Linked DNA regions of Drosophila melanogaster. The protein of the gene in region 1 binds, or shares a complex with, the protein of each later gene. Each region holds a gene or a part of one and is shown in the gene's direction. Other genes may lie near its edges.

Region 1 (4,141 bases):
GTTTTGTAGGCAGTCAGGTACGCCAGGACGACCCCCGGACAGGTAGTGCCAGCTGACACCCATAAACGCTAAGCTCAGACAGTTCTTTAAAATATACCAATAAATCTGCAGCTGTTCCTATGTGGAAAAGCCAACCGTTGGCTTTACCCCTTATGCACCCCCGTAAATAAAGCCGTGGTCATAGTTACAACACTAAACATTTTAATATTACCTATGAATTTTCCCACTTAAGAACATTGATTCATTTCACATGTATATAGGAAGATGTTTAGGAGTAAAGATCACTTTAGTCAAGAGTCGCGACTATGAGATACCCAGCACTCAGCGAAGACATTTATTTGATACGTTTCTAATAATCCTATTTTAACTATTATGACAATTGTATGGAACTACAGTGTTATATGCCAATTTGGGCGTTGTAGATCGTGGTCAGATCGACCAGGCCATTGGTCCGGATCGAAGAAACATTTACATTATAGGGTCGGAATCACTTTTTATACCAGTTACACACTGTACACTTTTCACTCTATAATACTGTTTTAGGTAATGGTCTATTTATCTCGAATTTAGATGTACGAATTAGTGTGGCAAACCAATCGATCAATTAAAATTGCGACTGTGGCTTGCCTAAGCGGACACAAAAGAGACTTACATTCGTAATTACATTGAAATGATTCAGAAGCCTATCAAGAAACAATCTTTGGTTCTATTTGGACGGCAGCTGTGCTGTGCTGTATAGATACATATGCACATATGTACATATGTGTACATCTGTATGCATCTGTATATGTATATACATTTCGGAGTTGTATTCAAGCAGAGCACACTGTAATCTAATAATAGATTCTTCGCCAACATGAATTTTTTGTGGATGATGATTAACCCGTCGAAATCGGGGAAATAGTTGGATATACATATATAATGTTTCATATGCACTTAAATTACATAATTTTGTTAATACTTACATTTCTGAATTGTGCGTCGCTGCTTCGCTTGTTCCTCAGCACAAAAATAGGTGCGGGGGCGTTCTGTCCACAGATAGAAATTAGTTTCACTCGTTGATTTCTCGTTTATTTAGCCTAAACTACGACTTTTTCAGTGGCTTGGTTCCGATTAGATATGTTTTACAGACGAAATTCAAGTTTTTCCTCGCTGCTTTTCAGGCTGACAAAAAAATCAGGCATTGTTCTCCACAGCGTTCGTCGTAGGCTTGTGAAAATACCGAATTAAATGCGCATCACATTAGGGGTAGTGAAATAAATACTGAAGGCTACACACAATTGTTAATTACATATTATAATTAAAAATTGTCAATGTTCTGGTCGGAATTTTATATTTTAATATAAATTTTAATTGTTTTATTATGATTATTTGTAGATACCATTGATCGCTGTACTTCTTGATACATACGCTCAGATTTGTTTAAACTTACTCTGGTATTAAAGATTTTTGTTGGTTAAAACAACCCTAATTCTAATTTTTAACACAGAAACATTTTCAAGAATACCGTTAGCACACACCAAGTAAAATATACGGAAAAGCAGTATTTTACGAAAAAAAAATCGTATTCGGATGAGCTTGCAGCCCTGGCGGGGACAGAAGTAGGGTTGTCGCCGGCCATCAACAATCCAAATGAACTCCTACGGTTTGTAGACAATATTAAAAACTGAATTTAACTGCCTTCCCACAAGAAATCACCAACACAAAGGGAGCGACAACCCACCGCCTGCGCCCAGAAACCTGGTCGACTGTTTTCCCGAGTTTTCTTTTGGCCCACAACCTGCGTTTGCTCTGTGCAGTCACTGCCGCGCCATACATTTTATTTCATTAGCGAAGCCCATATATATTTATAATTTTACTTGTGTGTTTTGTTTGCCGCGACGTTTCGTTTTCAATTCGATGGTGCACCAAAACACACAGCTCAGAACATCCACATAGCACACTGAAAGAAACCAAGAACCCAACCCGACACCGAAACTGAATAGACGCAAGTACCGACCCAACGAGACCCTTTCCAAAGCCAAAGACCAGTCCAAAATGGCCAAAATGTACGGAAAGGGTAAGAGTAAGTACACGCCAATCCACACCCATTTTCGCATTGTAATCTAACACCTACTGACACCGCTTGGCATGCCGAATCCTCAGAGATCTACCAAAAGTGGTGCTAATTTCTCAGGGACTAATGCTCTCCAATTTCTTCCGTAGCTGCTATCGAGTCGGAGGAGCTGCAGAAGCGACGCTGGCAGATCGAGCTGGAGTTCGTGCAGTGCCTGTCGAACCCCAACTATCTAAACTGTAAGAATAATATTACCTCGACCTACCTAATATTCACTTATTCACCATCTTGCGCGTATATCTAAATAAACAATTACAACGCCTTGTGCCAGTCCTTGCACAGCGTGGATTTTTCAAGGACCAGTCGTTCATCAACTACCTGAAGTATCTGCAGTACTGGAAGGAGCCGGACTATGCGAAATACCTCATGTACCCAATGTGCCTCTACTTCCTCGATCTGCTGCAGTACGAACACTTCCGCCGGGAGATCGTCAACTCGCAGTGCTGCAAGTTCATAGACGACCAGGCCATTCTGCAGTGGCAGCACTACACTCGCAAGCGCATCAAACTGATCGAAAACGTTACGGCCGCCCAGCAGCAACAACAGCAGCTTCAGCAGCAACAACAGCAGGCGAACGGCATGGAGGCAGCAACGGGAGGCGAATCAGCAGCACCTACCCCCAACGTGAACGGGTCAGCTTCCACGGCGGATAGTCAACAGACGTCTTCTGCCCTACAGCCTGTCCAAGCACAGCCTGGAAATCCCCAGCAGCAGCAGCAAATCAATGGCGTGGCATCGGGGGCCAACATAAAACTAGAGTTAAACTAGCGCTGGCAACTAAAAGTTTACCAATAAAATAGTATAAGAACCTGGAACAAGTTATTTTGCATTCCATTTATTATCTTCCTTTTTGGCTGAGAAACAGCTACCACTTAACACACCTTATTTTCTTAGCTATTTTAGCCAAACTAAAATTCTAAAATAATTTTATTTCTTTTTTTATTTTAGAAAATCTTGAAAACCTCATCTCATTGCTTTAGTTAGGGTGTCGCCTCCTTTGTCGTTGGTTTTTGGTTGCAGACACAAAGCAAGTTTCATTAATCTATCTGTTGGTGAATTCACAGACCCACAGGACACAGCTTCTCAACAGGAGGAATCCGTCGCGCTGAAGGGCCACTTCTACGGCGTCTATTTGCTATGCAGTCAGAGCTTGGATCCTCGCTACCGGGGAAAATGCTACGTGGGCTTCACCGTGAACCCCAAACGGCGGATACGCCAACACAATCTTGGTTGTGATTTCGGTGGCGCGAGGAAAACCAGTCGCAAAGGGCCGTGGCTGATGGTAATGATCGTGCACGGATTCCCGAATAATACAGTGGCACTCCAGTTTGAATGGGCTTGGCAACAGCCGTCGCTTTCAACTAGGCTTAAAATGTACCCTGAATTAAAACGAAAACTGCCCAGGGAGACGTTCTTTGACTACAACTTTAGGATCCTTAGTAATATGCTGGGGGTTGGCCCTTGGAATAGATTACCGCTCACCGTTCGCTGGCTAGAAACGGATTACGAGAGGCCATTCAGCAAGGCACTGCCTAAACACATGGAAATTGTGAGTGGCAAGGTTTCCATTAGTGCCTCACAACGTAGGAGACCTGATGATGCAGTACCTCCTCCACCTGTGGCGTGGGCTTCCGAGTGCCACCTTTGTATGCAGGAAATGGAGCAACCGGAGAAATCCCGCCTGGGATGCACAAATCAAATGTGTCGGCTGACATGCCATATGGTGTGCCTGGCCAATTACCTTCTGGGCGACGAGCCAGGTCATTACATCCCAGTTGGAGGAGAGTGTCCGCTTTGTGAGACTCGTCTCAGCTGGGCAGCACTGCTGCAGCGCAAACGTCTTCTTTTGGGCGTGCCTGAAGAACTGCAGGATCATGACGAGGATCTGAGCGACGACATTGATGTAGACAGCGATATTGAAGATACCCCGGAGCTCAGCGATTAGTTGAGGACCCATTTCATTTTATTTACAAATGCTAAGGTATCGCATAAGCTAAAAGTATCTAGGCAAACACCATCTTAATG
Region 2 (8,383 bases), on another chromosome or scaffold:
AATCCTTTGGGCTAAAGAACTACATCATGGTTCTACTTAATCGTCTGACATAATGGGTTATAAAATATCTCATGTGCTGGCCCCCAAATACATCTTTTAGATGATTTGTAGTTTCCATGATCAATAATTATTTATGCAATAAAAATCGAAACGCGATTTTTAGAATTATTTAATTTGATAAATATTTTATTTAGCAATATTTACATTTTTGAGCAAGAGCTGTGCCATCAATATAAGTTTGTATGTACATTTTCATTAAACAAAATAAATGCGGCCCGTTCTCACAGGAGCTAGTACTTGTTAATGTTGAACAGCCGCACGCCGTGGAACTGCGGCAGCTTGGGAAGCGTGACGACCACCAGGGATATAAAGTTTGGGATAAAGTGTTCCGTGTTGTTTCGGGTGTACAGACAGGTAAGTAGGAAACTATAAAAAAATCAATTATTTCATGAGTTTCTATGTTAGGCATTATATGGTAGCAATTACATTACTAGTTCAATTAAACTGCAGTACATAAAAAGTATTTATTGAAATACTTTGATCAACATTAAAACAAGTTTAGAATTTAAGTCTTCATTTAGTTTTAATTTTTTTAAATAAAAACCCACCTATATTGGCCGACTTTCAGTACGTATTCACTTACAGAACAATGGGAACAGCTGTGAGGAACTTGCGCGTTGTGGTCATCTGTACCCCGTCATCGATCTGTTCCCAGTGCGTCCAACGCCGGCTGGGATCGTTCTCCGTGCTCAGCCAGGGAGCGCCCTTGATGACGTGCAGAAAGTACAGGTGGGCCTGGCAAGAGGGATTAGGATAAGGACTGACTCCTCAACGGCGCCATGAGCACTCACTGCATTGTGAAGCAGGTTGGTAGCCGTCCAGGCCCATGGAATGCTAACGAAGGGCACTGATAAGAAGAGCAGGTGCACCGACAGCAGGCCCAGGAGGTATGCTAGCCAAAATCCCCGGGCACTCAGCCAGGAGCTGTTTGGATTCGCCTCGCCGTGGCCTCCCGCAATGGACGTCATGTGGCTGAATTGTTAACCTTTGGTTCCGAAACACTTTAATAACAAATATTTATCATTTACGCTCAATGTGACCGCGCATGCATACAAATATCGCTCTGCACTTTGATGATAATAAATATACCAAAATAATTTAGAGAAAACAGAAATTTGAAATACTTTAAATGTTTAATAAAATTTGAATTTAAGCTTTTGCAATTTTCTATGAAATATAACATCTACCTTTAGTAAAGGTTATGACTACTTTTGATTTGTCGGACCAAACCTATATTCAATATAATCCGTATATCTGTCGTAGTTTAGGTAAGTACGAGGAAGAGAGGAACGCTTAAGACTTATCATGAATTTAGCGAAATAAAATTTGTTTAAGTCGTAAGCTGTATTTGTTTACTTATTTGATTAGTCCTTAAAGTTTTTTTTAGCTGATATTTATTTTTATAGGATTATAGTTTCTTTCAAATCTCAAGAAACTTTAAATAATCATTTTCGGTTTCTTGGAACAGAAACCCCAAATTAAACTTTATGCCAATAAGACATTTAGAAATCATTGGAAATTTTAAATAAATATTAAATCATCGGTATTAAATTATGAGGCCTGTAATTTATTTTTTAACGAAAGAATGTTTGAGCTTTTCTGTTCATTACAATACCCTTGTAGCTTAAGAGAAAATTCGAGTAGGAAATGAGGCACAATTACATCATAAAAAATAGAATGTAAAAGTACCAGAAGGATGTATAGAATATAGATGTTAATTGCTTCATTATATTTACCCCTCATACTAAAAAATATAACATACATAATTGAACAGGCAATTGATACAAGCTTTGAATCAGAATACATCGAATATCAAATGACGCAGTGGAAATATCATAGTTCCGTTTTATATTCCAGTATTTTATTATAGCGTGACCAGCCACTGTGAAGGATCAGCCATTTTGTTGTTTTGGCGTTGAAATTTTTTTGCCATGATGAAGGCATAGAAAAAAGGTTCTGAGCTATTTAGATCGAGAACTTTTTCATTTGCCGCAATTCTTTGTCAAAAATGCCACAGCATCATTAAGTAAATACAGTTTACTTAGGAACGCATAGATATGAGCGGATCCAATGCAAAGTCCTCGGGGACTGGTAAGTACTAATATATACCCCCATAACTAAGATGTCCGGAGCACCACTGACACAAATCTGCACAGGCTTCGGCAGCCACATTCCCAGCATCGAGGAAAAGAACAAGCAGATCCAGCAGGAAACCATGATGGAGAAGCTGCGGGCCAAGTACCGGAACAAGCCAAAGAGCTACGAGGAGATCAAGAAGTCGGTGCGTATGTACTTTATCGAGAAGCACTACCCTCTGGACCCCCTGTGCAAGGCCACGCTGCAGTCGGCGCTGGACAAGTTGCAGCACTACATCAAGGTCACGTCACGCCACGGCCTTGTGGAGCGTTTGGAGAGCCTCTCGCGCCAGTTGGGCCTCAAGTTCATGGAGGACCAGCAGCTTCTCTTCATATCAACGGACATGTTCTACGTAGAGATCCTGCTGGACGCCGCCGGCAGTCTGTCGGACGTCAAGGTGCACCACGAGTGCAAGATCGAGCAACAGTCCAGCGAGCTAGTGGCCTGCCTCAAGTCTGGCGACTTTGCAGACTTTACGGTTCAACTCGAGGGTCTGTCCTCCATTTACCAGCTGAATGCCGAGCCCAAGGTGAAAAAGAAGGCGTTTGTAGCGCTTCAGGCCATGGAGACGGATATCCAGAGCCTATACCAACTGCACCTGCAAGGTCACTCCGGAGACAGCTACTCACTTATGACAAGTTCATCGGTGGGTCTTGTGCTGCCCCGTCGCGGTGGCCATCCTATGAGGCTTACTTATTTCTGCCCGCCGCTCCACCTTCCCGAAGGGGATCCCAAACTGGCCAGCGGCGATTTCACCATCGACCAGGTAATGCGAAGCAGCTACGGACTGAGTGCCACTATCAATCTCGAAGGCTCATCAGCCAACAAACTGCAGACTTTGCCAACGGTGACTTTGGTCCGCGATGCCCAAACGGGGTTGGAGGTTCCCACCTATGCCCAACTTAACCAGAACAACTCGCTGCTGATGCCGGCCACGTTTGTGCTTCGGCTGAACAAACCCATGCCTGTTTGCCTGGAATCACTAAAGGCTCTCGGTCTGCCCGGTCTAGACTCAGTTGCCACTCCTCCTGGTCCGCCCACCACAGTGCTTAATCTCATAGTACAAACTGCATCGAAGCAGGCCATTAAGAACACACAGCGCGGCCTGTATGTGAATTTACCTAAAGAGACGCACTGCTATTTCTTTACCGACAACCGCAAACTGCAGGGAACTCTGGTGTCATCACTGCCCTTCACTGAACCCGCCCAGGTTCCGCGAATCGTGGCGTTCCTCAAGAAACAAGCTCTCTTCTACACCCTGCTCGCAAGCTGTGTTCGTGAGCAGCAGAAGCAGTATAATGGTGAGTTGGGTGCTCCACTTCCCCCCACATTCCTGTTTTATGATAATAATATTTTTTTTATGCTCATTCGTCCCAGATATGGACAGCACTGTGATACTGGAGGTAACCGCCGTTTCATTTAATCAAATCACGGTTGAGCTGCAGCACCCGTACGAAGAGTCGCTGGCCACTGTGGATTTTCTGCTTGAGGATGGTCAGCCCACGTGCAGCGTTTACTGTCTGACCAACGAATACGAGCTGCTGTCCCAGAAGTTAACCCGCACCGCGCGCAAAGTGGTATCCATTCCGATGGTAATCTACAAGTTGCTTAAGTGCTGGGATGAGGAGCACGAATTCAAACTGCATGGCGCGATTGGACCTGGATCTGGTTCTGGAGCAATCGGAGGTGGAGGCATGAGTGGTGGTGGACCTGTCTCAGGAGTAGGCAATAACTTTAGCCAGTTTTCAATGGATACGCCGACGCCTTCCGATGGAAGCCTACCCGGAGGTGGCTTCGCCAACATTAACAACCTTAAAATGGATGCGAAGTCGCGATCTCTAGCGGATGCTTTTGCCGCTTCTACTTCGGCAGCAGCGGCCATAGCGGGTTTGATCAATCTTAAGCGGGAAACCGATCCACAGTCTGGTAGTTCGGCCAGTGGCACCACGGTCAGCGGCAGCTCCAGCTCATCCGGCTCCGCCAAGACGAGTGACCATGACATTGCTGACAAGTACAAAAATATCTGGAAGGACAAGACTCCAAATTTGAAGCATTGCGTCAGCATCACCCCCATCCCAGGAGATGGAAAGTCTGGATCAGCTGGGGGAGTGTCCGGGGTCGAGGTACAGCGAACGGGTGGTATCGAAATTATTCCATTGAATGCCCAGGCGGCTATAGCCGGAGGAGGTGTTACAGCCTCATCCAGTGCCACTCCCACGACTATAACTATTACCCCAATAACTGGCAAGGATCCCAGTAAGGACTCAACCAAAAAAAGTACCGCTGCTTCAGCTGGAGTAGGTGTGGCCGCAAAGCGTCCCCACGAAAGTAGCACAAGTAGTTCGTCTACGTCCGGTTGTAGTGGTTCTGGCAGCTCCATGTCGTCTTCAGCCAGCAGCGGCTCTTCAGATACGCAGAAGGAAAAGAAGCGCAAGAAAAAGCGCGACGATTCGCCCATGGGACCGCCGGAGAAGATCTATTCTAGGCAAAACTCGCCTGCAGGTGGCGCAGATGCTTCCGCAACTGGTGGAGTGGTTCGCAAGTTTTCCTCTCCCTCGTCGTCACCCAAAGCTGGTGGCGGTGGACAGGGTCTAATGGCCGGAGTGCCGACTGCCCGTCCCAGCCCCAAGCACTCTCCCGTGTATAGCAGTCCCAAGCACAACACCGCCTCCAACAGCCCGAAGTCGCCGTTTGGCACACACTCACCCAAACACGGCTCTTCCGGAAAGCCGAGCATGTCAACGCTTAAAAGTGCAGCTACAGCTGCCACCATCTTAAGTCCCAAGGGCGATAAGTCCTCGTCAGCTGTGGGTAACACATCTTCGGGACCATCCGCCTCCTCAGGATCCAGCGGAGCTACTGGCCTGGTGAGGTCATTTGCCAGCGTTGGAGCTCCGCCTCCACCACCTCCAATTCCTCCATTAGCGAGCTCGAGCGGATCTATCAGCAGCAGCCAGAGTTTAAAGAAGGAGAAAACCTCTTCGGCATCCGGTTCCAGTTCCACATCATCCTCGGCAACTGCAGGTGTCGCATCTGGCGGAGGTATTTCACCGGCAAGTGTGGCTGCTGCAGTAGCTGCCCTGAAATCCTCACAACAGCAGATGAAGTCAGTCGCCAGTCTTTCGCATCTGGCGGCGGGCGGGGGACTGGGTAGCTATGCGGCCCCGTCGGGAGCGGGAGCATCTGGTGCAGCCGCAGTGGTGGTGGGAGCAGGAGCTGGCGCTGGAGCGGGGGCCTCCGGACTGGAGCTGAGTGCCCTGCGCAAGGGCATGGCGGGAGGTGCGGTAAGTCCGTTTTCATTATAAGTGCTCCACTCCACACCACACCAACCCACCCCCAGCATCTCCCACTGGAAGCCTAACACGTAGTTGACTCTCTGCCACCTCTCCTAACCAATGCAGAATCAAACTCAGAGCGAACCTATCTTTAAACTAATGCAAATGCTGTATTTACTTTAGCTATAAAACGATTTGTAATTTGCCTACCTCTGCTGTAGTTGAAAATGATTATATTTAGTACTATGATTATTATTTTTGTTAGTGTTTCGTTTTGCCTTTTCTAATTTTTGTAAATACATATGATTCAATTATTTGTCATATATACTGCTGCATCCGTTTTATTTTCGACCAAACCCAAAACTCGTATGGTAATGGGGCTTATCCCCAAAACACCAGCTTAAACCTCTTTTTCTGCATTGAGAACGTATGTTTTTATTATTAGTTAATCTGTTTGATTTGTATAGTTGTTTGGCCAGCATGTGGCATGTAGAAAACCATGGCGTACTGGTTCACCAAGTTTATAGTGTCTACAGTATTGCTGGATTTATAAGAATGTGTATGCATATGACTTTTAAGCTTTGTTAAGAACATCAGTAAATAATGTGTAAATTAGTAGTGCTTGGCATCTTGACTCTACGAGTATTATAATTTGATTGTTTCCCCTTTTCTAGATTTAGTTACAAGAGTTCCTTCTCACTTAAATATTTACTACGTTTAAAATTAGTGTTTAATGTGCTTATGATGTACACTTTGAAAGTAGCTCCACAAGCGTTTGCCTCATACATTTTCTCCTCAAAAATATATTTCGTATCCGACTTAACTATAAAGCTAATTATTAACGGGGTCCATTCTTCTTTCTTCCTGTTTGTATTCCCTTCCTACACTACCAATGGTTGTGAAATCCCACAATTTTTTCTTTTGCTACACGTGATGTTCCCCTTTTTGATTGTTATAATTTCTTTTCTGGTTTATTTTTGGTTTCTTTGGTCCCTAACACACACACAACCACATGCTTACTTTGTCAGGTTAGTTTGATGACGTCGACGGCAGCTTTAGCGCCAACAATTCCGGCACCAACAACAACAGTGGCAGCGGGCTCGGCAGCGTCATTGGTGTCTCCAGTCTCAGCGGTAGTGGGTCAGGGGCAGGAAACAGCGGGAGCAGCGGCAGCAGCAACGCTGGCAACAGCAACAATTCTGCAGCAGCAGCCACAGCCGGGAGCAGCGCCAACTAGTAGCTGCTTAACCACCAGCGGGGGCAGCAGCGACTCCGCCGGGAGCATCAATCCGGCCGGAGCCTCCACGGAATACATGGTGAAGCCCAGCAGCCAAGAGGGCCTCAAGCTGACCATCAACAAGACGGGAAGCAGCAAGAGCTCCGGCACCGGCTCCGGCTCTAGTTCCTCCTCTGGCCTCCAAGCGAAGGCAAAGAGCAGCAGCAGCGGCGCCACGAGCTTCGCTGGGTCCACTGGATCCACGAAGAAGCAGCATACCGGACTCAAGCCGGGCGTTAACAGCGGACCCGCTTCCAAGAAGGCCACCGCAGCGGTCTCGTCCGCCACGGCATCATCCAGCAAGCATTTCTTCCAGAAGGCAAACTCCTCGGGCAATCTCAGCAGCAAGCTCAGTGGGTCGGGATCAGGTGGCGGAATTCCGCTGACTAAGAGCAACAGCACTAACTCCTTCCAAGAGCACAATGCCCCCAGGCGGCGTCCCAGCATGGGAGCCTTGGCTAGCGGCAGCAGTGGAGGAGGCAGCGGGCAGCGAAAGTTAGGCTCCGCTTCGGGAGGAGGCAGCGGATCTTCGGGGTCGGTATCGCCGGCCCTTAGCGGCTCAATGTCGCAGCCACCGCCGCGATTCGATCACCACACGGATATGATGACCATCCTCCAATACGCTTCTCCGACAATGGCCGCAAGCATGGAAGGCTTCATCAAGGGGCTCCACAACAAATTCCAGATCCCAAAGTTATCGCAGAGAGGAAGCGGAGGCAATACAACCAGTGGACGCAGCACGCCAAGTGGCAGTTCAGAACCGGCTTTAGCGGGAACATCATCTTCGATATTAGGACCTATTGCCAGCTCTACTGGACTGACGGAGCCGGAAGCGAAGCCGCCGGTGCCTCCTTCGCAGTCTGGCAATGAAGGACTGCTCAATCTTAGCAGCACGGCGGGTACACCATCGGCGGATGGGATAGATGAGGAGCTTTTGGCTAGCCTGGCTGGCGAATGACAGAAGAAAGACAGCCGTCATGAGATATTCCTGTTGCTCTATGCGATTTTCTCTTAAAGCTAGCATAGTGAGTTAGTTTAAAGCCATTAGTTACACGATTTTGTTTTATGATGCATAGAAACTAAGGATCTTATTAGGCAATTTCTTAACTTTATTGGCAGAAAAATGATTTAAAACTCCAAAGGAAATAAATAAAATTTTACAACACGATGGCGAATTTGGTACAAAATCTCAGAGATTATTCCCGATTCTGTTAAGTCGATCAAACCGAAATCACCTTATGCTTTAAAAATGCATTAGGTAAATCTTAAGGAAAGCGATGCGATATGTACGATAAAATCGCTCTAAATATGTTGTAGAGTATAATAAATGTATTCAGTTGGAGATTTTTGGGCTTTGCATATTTATTTAGGTGCGGGCGTACTATTATTTTTTAATTGTTGGTAAATAGCGTTGAAACAGCTCGAAGAAAGTTTTTTTCAAACTCTTGCTCAGAAAACCGTTCCACGGAGGCCCTAAAAGCGAACCAAAATATATTAAAGTGTGCAAACTGTAAATGTTTATCTAGTTACCTGGCTGCGTTTCGAATGCCGTTCATTTCTGAGTTGTTAACAATAATATTTAATATGTTTTCTGCGTATTCAACGGCGTCAGTAGCCAGGAATCCGTTCTGACTTC
Region 3 (8,280 bases), on another chromosome or scaffold:
GAAAACTGCAATTCTATGCGAGCTTAATACCTCAGGTAGGGAATCTGAGTTCTAGATACCAATGCAGTTGTTCCGCGTAAATCATTTACACTACCTACTTTATCTGGCTTCATATGTTTGAATTTCCCTGAACTCTGTTGAAATGTAATTAATATGCTCTTTGCAAAAGTAGCCTAGTACATTTCATAAAGGTTTATAAAACAAAAATTGAATCACGTGCAAATTGAACTACAAACTGATTACCCTGCCTCTATTTCAAGTTCTAAATAACGGTTCATTCTGTTGTATTTGTAGACTTTTGATTGCCTCGCAGGATGGGTACTTGTACGTGTATTCCATTCCCACCGTCGAGGGCGCAGAGTGCCAGCTAATAAAGAGGCACGACCTGCGGCTGGAGGACCACTATGCCATGGATATCAAAGGTGCTTAACTGTTCGCTTCTCGCACACACTTCACACTTACACACATCCCAACCAAACCCACAATCGAAACAAATTCTCTAGTTGATTCACCTCAAACTCTAGGCCTTAACAGTGGCGTGAGCATTGGCGGAGCAGCTGGAGTTCCGCCGAGCAGTGCAAGTGCAGCCGGAGCAGGCACTGGTGGAAGTGGCGGTGATGGCAAGTCGGCTGTTTCTGTTACCGGTGGTGTCGACAAACCAAGTAGCTCCTATGCGTCGGCCGTGAAGGGTGACGATCCCGTGGGACCCTCATCCGCTTAGACAAGGTCAATGATCAAAAATGAGAGATGCAGCGATGGTAAACGAAACTCACTCCTCAAAGTAATAAGGACGATGATGCTAAAGTGATTACAATGATGCTTGGCGACTGGCGGCGGCGATAATGATGATGAATAAACGACGGTGGCTCTGTGGCGTCAAGCGTATTTAAGTAAATAAATAGGTCATAGACTTAATTTAGCTCTTAACGTTGTCAGCGATGATTCTTCCTCGTTTTGTACCAGCCAATATTCCTTTGTACGGCCTCTCCCTACCCAAAACATTTTTTAGTTTTAAGCCTCCGTTCCTGGCGCTGCCATTGGAATGTGAAATGCTTTTGTCATACACTCCTAAGTTAGTTGTTAATTAATAATTTAGACGGATTTACAGATTCGCTTTGATATTTGAGTTGCCAGCTTTTTATACAAAATAAACGGCCTTTGCAAATTAGTTTTTAATTTTTTTATTTTTCCAGTCCTCGCGCATCTTCCCTTGACAATCCACCGAACTCGATTTGTATGTAAAGTTCTCGCCTAGCTATTGTTTAATCATATCGAAATATCTCGGATTAAGCACATACACCACACCTATATATATATATTATATATTCAATTTAAAATTTAACATTCAGCTAGCGACACGATGAGTGAAATGAAATTCAAAAAATCGGAGCGTGCAATGGAGGAACAATTTTCGGCATATATAAATAGAATATATTTTGTACAAAGTCAAATATTTTAGAACATAATGTTTAAAATGAAAACAGTTTACAAATGAAACTCATACGCTACTTTATTGTATTCAATAAATTATTTGAATTAAAATTTGTTTGTGGGTGCCTTTTCGGTGTCTTAAAATATATTTTAATATTATTTCCTTTATTTGGCTAAATTCCTCGTTGCAAAAACAAAATTTTCAAAATATTTAAAATTGGCGACAAATTTTAAGATTGTGTGTTTTTCAACACTGTAGGATGGGAAAATTATGGTACTCTTTTGGTATGATTAATAAAAGATACCTCGGTCACACTGAGCGCTGCTAAAAAATATATTAGGTTTAAATAAAATAAATTGCGTGAAATACGAGAAAAGTAAAAGTTATATTACTTCCACGGACGCGAGAGATGAAGGAGAACAACAAGATCCTCCAACTCATCTATGTGGCGTGGCGCGAGCGCTGGACGGACTCCCAGTGGGGCATCAACATAAAAAAGGCAAGGCAACCCAAGCAAATCAACACACCAAACAATCAATGTTCGTGTTTACCAATATATTGTAAACGCAATGAGGCCGGTACATTGAGAATTTTAGTGACTCAAATTGCCCGCCTCCGTGCTCTTAGTCTTGGGCTCGAAAACCGGATCCTCTGCCTGGGACAGTGCCAAAACCAGTTGGCGTTGCTTTACGGAGAGATTCCGGGGTATACGCACCTTCAGCGTGACGATGTGGTTGCCCACGCCCTCCCTGGAGCGCACCCCCTTGCCATTGAGCACCACCTGGGTGTGGGATTGGGTGCCCGGCTCCACACGCAGCTCCACGCTTTCGTACAGACCCCGTATCTGAAAGGATCCGCCCAGAATGGCCTCCGAGATGTTTAGGTGCTTGTCGGTTAGAATGTCATTGCCAACGCGTCGGAAATAGTCGCTAGACGGCACCGACAAGCGGTAGGTGACCTGCTGCTTCGTTTCCGGATTTATAATGTTCACCACATCACCGTCCCGGGATCCGGAAGGCACCGATACCATCACATCCACATTGGACACCACGAAGCCGCGATTCGAACATGTTTCGCAGTCGTTGCGATTTGTGAATCGCTTGCCCTTGCACTGCGTGCATGTGTTCACCGATGAGAAGGTTGGCGTTTTGGTCATGACCTTTCCAGTTCCATTGCATCGCCGACAGGGTTCCTTGCCCACATCCCGATGCGCCATCAATTGTGACTTGCCCTTGCAGGTCTCGCATTTCCGCAAGTAGCGCAGCTCTATCCGCTTCTTGCATCCCACTGTCGCCTCAAGGAAGTCAAGTGGCAGATCGAACTCGTTGCTCTTCAGTTTGTTGATCTCTAGAAGGCGATTCAAGGATCGTGTTCATATCGTGATATAGTGAAAAGTGAAATGGTGTTTGATGTATCTAAAATCCGTCTGCTTACCATCATTTGTCGTCTTATCCGAATCGAACTTCTTGGCCTCCTCGAGGCCCACATTTAGGGGATTGCCCGCCTGTTCAAGAAAAGCGCGCTCATCCTTAATCCCGCCCAGCTGATCGTACTCCAAGCGCTTCGTCTCGTCGGTTAGGATGTTGTAGGCGTTGGACAGCTCCTGGAAGTGCTTCAGCTTTTGTTCCGAGTGCGTCGAGTCGGGATGATAGCGCTTGGCCAGCGCATAGAAAGCCGATCTGATTTGCTGGATGGTGGCGTGCCTGTTGACGCCTAACACTTTGTAGTAGTAGTCCTTGGGCATGCCTCGGCTTTGCGGGTACTTAACAGCCGGAGATGACACCTGTTGAGGCGTGGCTCCCGCTGACGTTCGCTTCGCCTCCCGCTGGCGATCTGGATAGTAGGCTGGTTTCGTGGTCCTGAACTGATATTGACTGATCATCCGCATACAGATCCAGCAGGCAGCGACAGCGGGAGCGCGATCCAACTCCAAACAATGTGACGTCTTCCTGCAGCAATCCGTTGCAGCTCCGCTAATTAAAGTGCTTAATACGTCTCCAGGACTGCGAAATAATTTTAAACGAAACATTTTTTATCGCGTAACGAAATATGCAACTATGTGTGCTAACTATATAAGTGGAAATCCTAACTAGATTTTTAAGTGGTTCTGTTTCTGTTTATTTTATGGGGTTGTGACCCAGATATTGTGTTAAAGTTTGACAGGAAAAGAAAATGTTTCATTATTGTCTTTCCCTTGATTACTATTTCAGGTGCTGCCGAGAGGAGTCAGTGGAGATGTATACAATCTGGCTGACTGTCTGATGCAGCAGGCACTCATTGGTTCCACGGCTAATCCGGTGAGTAGTTGATCTGAGTATTTAGATTGTTTTCTAAATTGTAATCTATGCTTTTCAGTTGGTTCTTAACTACCTGAAGCATTCACTGTGCGCCCATCTCGTTTCTCACGCTGCTGTTATTCGGTGCATTGCCAAATATGACAAATTAGAGCGCGTTTATTGCATTACAGCGCTCCTTGAATTCCTGGCCAGCATCGTGGATGGCGTTACCTGCCGGTAAGTCCTTTTAGTTTTATAAGTCGTTAAAAAGCAGGAGTAAAAATAATTGTTCATTTCTATTTCCAGAATAAAATCTGAGGAAGCGGTTTTACCGAGTTCCGTCGTCCACTTGGTGTACTGGCTGCTTCAAATCTTCGCCAGAACTGTGCAGCACTATGAACTGTATGGTGAGATTAGTGCTGAGCAATCATACATGCTGGACCAGACCTGCGTGGTGATAGATCGGCTTAGCCAGCAGCAGTTCCTGCTGTCTATGCTGTACGTGGGCTGTCACGAAGAGCTCGAAATATGTGGACGGATTCGGGATAAGTACGCTACCATCAAGGGATCGTTGACGAACTCAAACTTTACGCTAAATGCACCACAAGTGGAGCAGCAATTGCAGCAGTTGGCCTTTATAGAAGCCAAGCATCTTGAAATGCAACCACTTAATCCGCCGTCAACACTCGAGAAGATCTCGTGCTGCGTGCAACCCTTACTGGCGGTGGAAGTGCTTCTCAATCCGTGCAAGGACACCAGCTACTACGTGGCTGAGTTGCAGATGCTGCAACGATTAAAGAAATACTCCAATACACGGCTCTTCTACGAAATCATCCGTGCTGGATTCCTCACGCTGAGCAATGTTGCGGATACAAGTCCTGACACTATGTGGGGTGCCTTTATGTTCTTTAAAATGCCGCACATCATTAAGCAATTGCACGCCCTGCAACGGATTCCCGGGGAGCAACCACCACCGGCCGATTACATACCCGAGTTGGTGGAGGCTTTGGAATTGCTCATCGAGGACAATCTGCTGCTAGACTTCATGGATACTAAGTGCTCATGCAATATGATCGAGTTCCTTTTGAATGACTGGACCAAGCAACAACTAGTCAATGATGTCCACGTAAAGAAGTTCGCCAGTCAAAGGTTAGTCGAGAAATCATGCATTTTGTACACCCATCTTAATTATATAATTTAAAACGAACTCTTTCAGGGAAGCCGCCTCTCAATTACTCAAAAAATGCGACAATGGCCAACAGACACCCTCCAATATAAACTTCATCAAGCGCGCAGAGGTTCCGCTTTCCGGAGTACTAAAAACGCTGTGCACCAACAAGGTCCAGGACATGGTTAATGTCCTTTGCCAAGTGCCGGTGGGCAACAGCTTCGAGTTGATTCTTTCAGTGGCTACCGTCGAGGGACGCCTCAAGACATTCGTATCGCGTCTGATCCAGTGCAATGAGAACTCCAAGCCGGTGCCGGGCGACCTGGGCAAGCTATGCGTCATCCGGTCCACTCTGTTTGATGTTTCCTTCCTAATGTTGACAAGCATTGTGCAGACCTATGGATCCGATGTTCGTAAACCCGCCTGTTATTACGCTGCAATTTTAATGAATTCTATTTTACTTCAGGTGGTCTTATCTGAGCGTGGTGACTCATTTTTTGAAAAATGGGTGCGTGAGTGCATGGTGGAAAGGAATAAGCTTAAGAATCCGCGTCAAATTCTTGCCCTCTGTGATGACAGTATTGTCGACGAGCTTTTGCTTAGCTTCAGTAAACCAGAGGCATCACAACTTAAGCCAAACAACTTAAGTTGGCAGGAGACTTGCCTTAATCTGCCCGGAGTGCTTCATCATGTGCTAATAGCTTGGGAGCAGGAAACGCTATCCTCGGCGGACGTTAAAAGTATTCTGGACAATATTAAGAGAAGACTTTTCAGTTTTTCCGTTTGCGCCACTAGTTTTCTATGCGCCTACATGTATTCGGTGAAGGAAACGGAACTTCTGAAACCACTAAACATGATTCAGCAGTTCCTGGCTCCGTTGACCAGCGAAGAGCTTTCCAGCCAGGAAAATGCCAAGGAGCGACTAGCTCTCTCCTATCAGATTATCAGAAAAATGCAACACGATGTGCATCCTGCCCCAAGTACCAAGTCCCGCCTCATTTCACATTCCCCGCTAGTCGAGCAGTTTCGGGAGGTGTGGCGAACAGTAGTCGATGCTGGTCACCTGCCCGTTCGCGCCGCTCAGTCGTTGGAGTCGCTTCTGCTAGCCGGTGGCGCGGCGTGGCTGTCCACGCAGTTGGTGGAGCAACTGCTGGCCTGCAAGTACACAAGGGATATGTCGCGAACCATGGACGTTGTGTTTGCCGTAATGCATCTCGACATTGAGAAGACCACTGAGGCGTTGCTCCAGTACGTGGTGGCTCCACTGATACTGCGACGACAAGGGTAAATACCAATATTTTCTTCTGTATATTATTTCATTTATTTATTATCTACAAATCGAATCGATTTAGCAAGAAAGGATGTAAAAATTGAAACTGCTATGATAGAACTCGTACTCACAATTTGGCAATCTTTTTTTTTTCTAGTGAGGACATTAATGAGCCCCAATCCCTGGTACTGGCCCGCCTCTGTGTTTACTGTATTATTTCCTGCCTGGAGAGCCGCAAAGGAAATGGCACTTCCGCTTTGACGGCCATGAAGAAGCGATCGAGATCTCACGATGACGAGGAACTGGCGGCCAATGCAGCCAAAGTGCGCAAGGTGATTGGCGATGGCAGCGACAACTCAAGCGACTTTACGGACACTACGACCGGAGCTGGCCTGGCAGCATTATTGGGCTCCACTTCCACATCTGAACTGCGGACTACGCCGCTTACTCTAAGAGAACCACTGCAGACGAGCGTGCAGCACATTTTCGCAGTGTTCCTGCAGTTTGTCAGTGGAGATGAACTGTCGCCCAAGGCCGTTTTTGTTTATCAGTTCATTTCGCTGCTGGTGGAATGCGGTGGTGAGAGGGTCGCTCCCGTCCTGCGCTTGCTGCCCAACGGCCTGGTGCAACAGCTCCTGAAAGTTTTGGTCACCGACGACATAAAAGTGGGTCTCATCAGCAGACTATACGATCTGCGAATCCAGGCAGGAAGACTGTCCGCTGTGTCTGATCTTTGCCTGTGGCGAAATATGCAGATGGCCAGGCACAGCATTCATCTGTGAGGGATTTGGATGATTGCCACATTGGGTATGCCGATTATGATTAAGAGACGGGTGGGCGAAATTGCTAAATGAATTGTATTAAAAACTAGAAATTGGTGACTTGACTCGGCTTCTTCTTTGCACGCAGTGGATTTTGTTTTCGTTTATTACAATAATTTGTTGTCGCCGATGTTCGTCTGTGTTTTGCTTCATCTTCTTCAGTTAGCGGGTGTAGGGGGAGGTGTATGGACAGGCTTAAAGTAAGAGACCTTGCGATTCCCTATATCACTTGAGCAGACAGCACTCGAAGTAGGTCTCGCCCACACAGCCACCACGCATCGCCTTCTTTACATTGTTCTCGAACTGACGGCGGTTGGTCTGCAGGACGTCGGCCGCCTCCTTGTTGAGCGGATCCTCGGGATTGGGTTCCTGGAAGCAGTTAATTTGGATTAGTAATACTGTTGGCTTGGGTAATAACAAAAATAGAAATAATGATCGTTAAGTGGTATAAACAAACATTTATATTGAATTGTTTCAGTGGGCGTTCAATTAAGCACACTTAGAAATCAATTGTTCACAAAACAAGACATAAAAAATCAATTGTAACTTGAAAACTGTGGCTGTTGATCAAGACTTATGGAACAAAGCGTATAGCCTCTAAAATAACACAAATCACGAAATACAAACCAAGAATAGAAACTGCAAGCCATAGACGATGGAGTTGATGTTCAGCACTGGATTCCAGTCCTCGCGCAGAATGTTGAGGCAGACGTTGCCATCCAGGTCAATATTGGGATGGTACACCTGGGTGGCGCACTTCACCTTGGGCGGCTCGTGCGGATAGTTGGATCCGACGCGGAAATTGAACACGAAGCGCCCGTCTCTGTAGAAGCCCTCGTCGGGCGAGATGATAAGCTTGAAGTTGAGCAAGTCATTGGGATCGGGAAAGTCTGTGGCGCAAGTGTTTGGCAGGTTCAGTTCGTTAATATCTGGGGGGAGGAAAACAGCCCAAGATGGATAAGTAATAAGCGAGAGTTGATCATACCAGGTGCTGGATTGGAGACTACCTTTCTGTATGCGCAGCTGGGCGGCGGACGCTTTCTTCTGCTGACTGCCCTTTTGCTCGCCGTCTTTCTTCTGCTGCTTAAGCGTGAATAGTTTAATCATCTTGGCGTCCTCGTCTCGCTGGCGTTTCGTCTTCCGCGTTTGGCTGTGCTCGAAAGTTTCTGGCTCTCTGGGGGGCTTTTGCTGCTTGAGGGACAGGTTGCATTGTTTGAAATGTCAGTGGTTTAAGGGCAATTGTTTCACTGAATCTTTGGCCTACCGTTAACAATAGAACTGATGTAAAAAATCACTTCGAGTGCTTTCTATCC

Evidence for each region.
Region 2: MED31 (region 1) and MED1 share a complex: the UniProt entries of both Drosophila melanogaster proteins name them as parts of the mediator complex.
Region 3: MED31 (region 1) and MED24 share a complex: the UniProt entries of both Drosophila melanogaster proteins name them as parts of the mediator complex.

Annotation. Positions count from the first base shown.
Region 1 is NT_033777.3:4,640,364-4,644,504, forward strand, and holds MED31 (mediator complex subunit 31), read left to right. Parts: upstream 1-1,599; 5' UTR 1,600-1,632; coding exon of another isoform or gene 1,633-1,645; exon of another isoform or gene 1,646-1,920; 5' UTR 1,921-2,037; coding exon 2,038-2,065; intron 2,066-2,205; coding exon 2,206-2,295; intron 2,296-2,387; coding exon 2,388-2,884; 3' UTR 2,885-2,929; downstream 2,930-4,141. Other genes in the region: nuclease slx1, read left to right, coding at 1,633-1,645, 3,181-4,061. UniProt on the Drosophila melanogaster protein: Component of the Mediator complex, a coactivator involved in the regulated transcription of nearly all RNA polymerase II-dependent genes.
Region 2 is NT_037436.4:21,628,030-21,636,412, reverse strand, and holds MED1 (mediator complex subunit 1), read left to right. Parts: upstream 1-1,966; 5' UTR 1,967-2,117; coding exon 2,118-2,151; intron 2,152-2,216; coding exon 2,217-3,497; intron 3,498-3,573; coding exon 3,574-5,480; coding exon of another isoform or gene 5,481-5,501; exon of another isoform or gene 5,502-6,292; intron 6,293-6,499; coding exon 6,500-7,705; 3' UTR 7,706-8,088; downstream 8,089-8,383. Other genes in the region: ORMDL (orosomucoid 1-like), read right to left, coding at 291-426, 644-795, 852-1,028; Alg11 (ALG11, alpha-1,2-mannosyltransferase), read right to left, coding at 8,139-8,220, 8,278-8,383. UniProt on the Drosophila melanogaster protein: Component of the Mediator complex, a coactivator involved in the regulated transcription of nearly all RNA polymerase II-dependent genes.
Region 3 is NT_037436.4:8,189,548-8,197,827, forward strand, and holds MED24 (mediator complex subunit 24), read left to right. Parts: upstream 1-1,722; 5' UTR 1,723-1,841; coding exon 1,842-1,931; intron 1,932-1,974; exon of another isoform or gene 1,975-2,024; coding exon of another isoform or gene 2,025-2,779; intron 2,780-2,866; coding exon of another isoform or gene 2,867-3,461; exon of another isoform or gene 3,462-3,569; intron 3,570-3,642; coding exon 3,643-3,729; intron 3,730-3,787; coding exon 3,788-3,945; intron 3,946-4,014; coding exon 4,015-4,857; intron 4,858-4,924; coding exon 4,925-5,285; intron 5,286-5,342; coding exon 5,343-6,160; intron 6,161-6,299; exon of another isoform or gene 6,300-6,303; coding exon 6,304-6,928; 3' UTR 6,929-7,026; downstream 7,027-8,280. Other genes in the region: Atg18a (Autophagy-related 18a), read left to right, coding at 295-422, 504-721; CG7387 (uncharacterized protein), read right to left, coding at 2,025-2,779, 2,867-3,461; NEDD8-conjugating enzyme UbcE2M, read right to left, coding at 7,193-7,336, 7,595-7,896, 7,975-8,074. UniProt on the Drosophila melanogaster protein: Component of the Mediator complex, a coactivator involved in the regulated transcription of nearly all RNA polymerase II-dependent genes.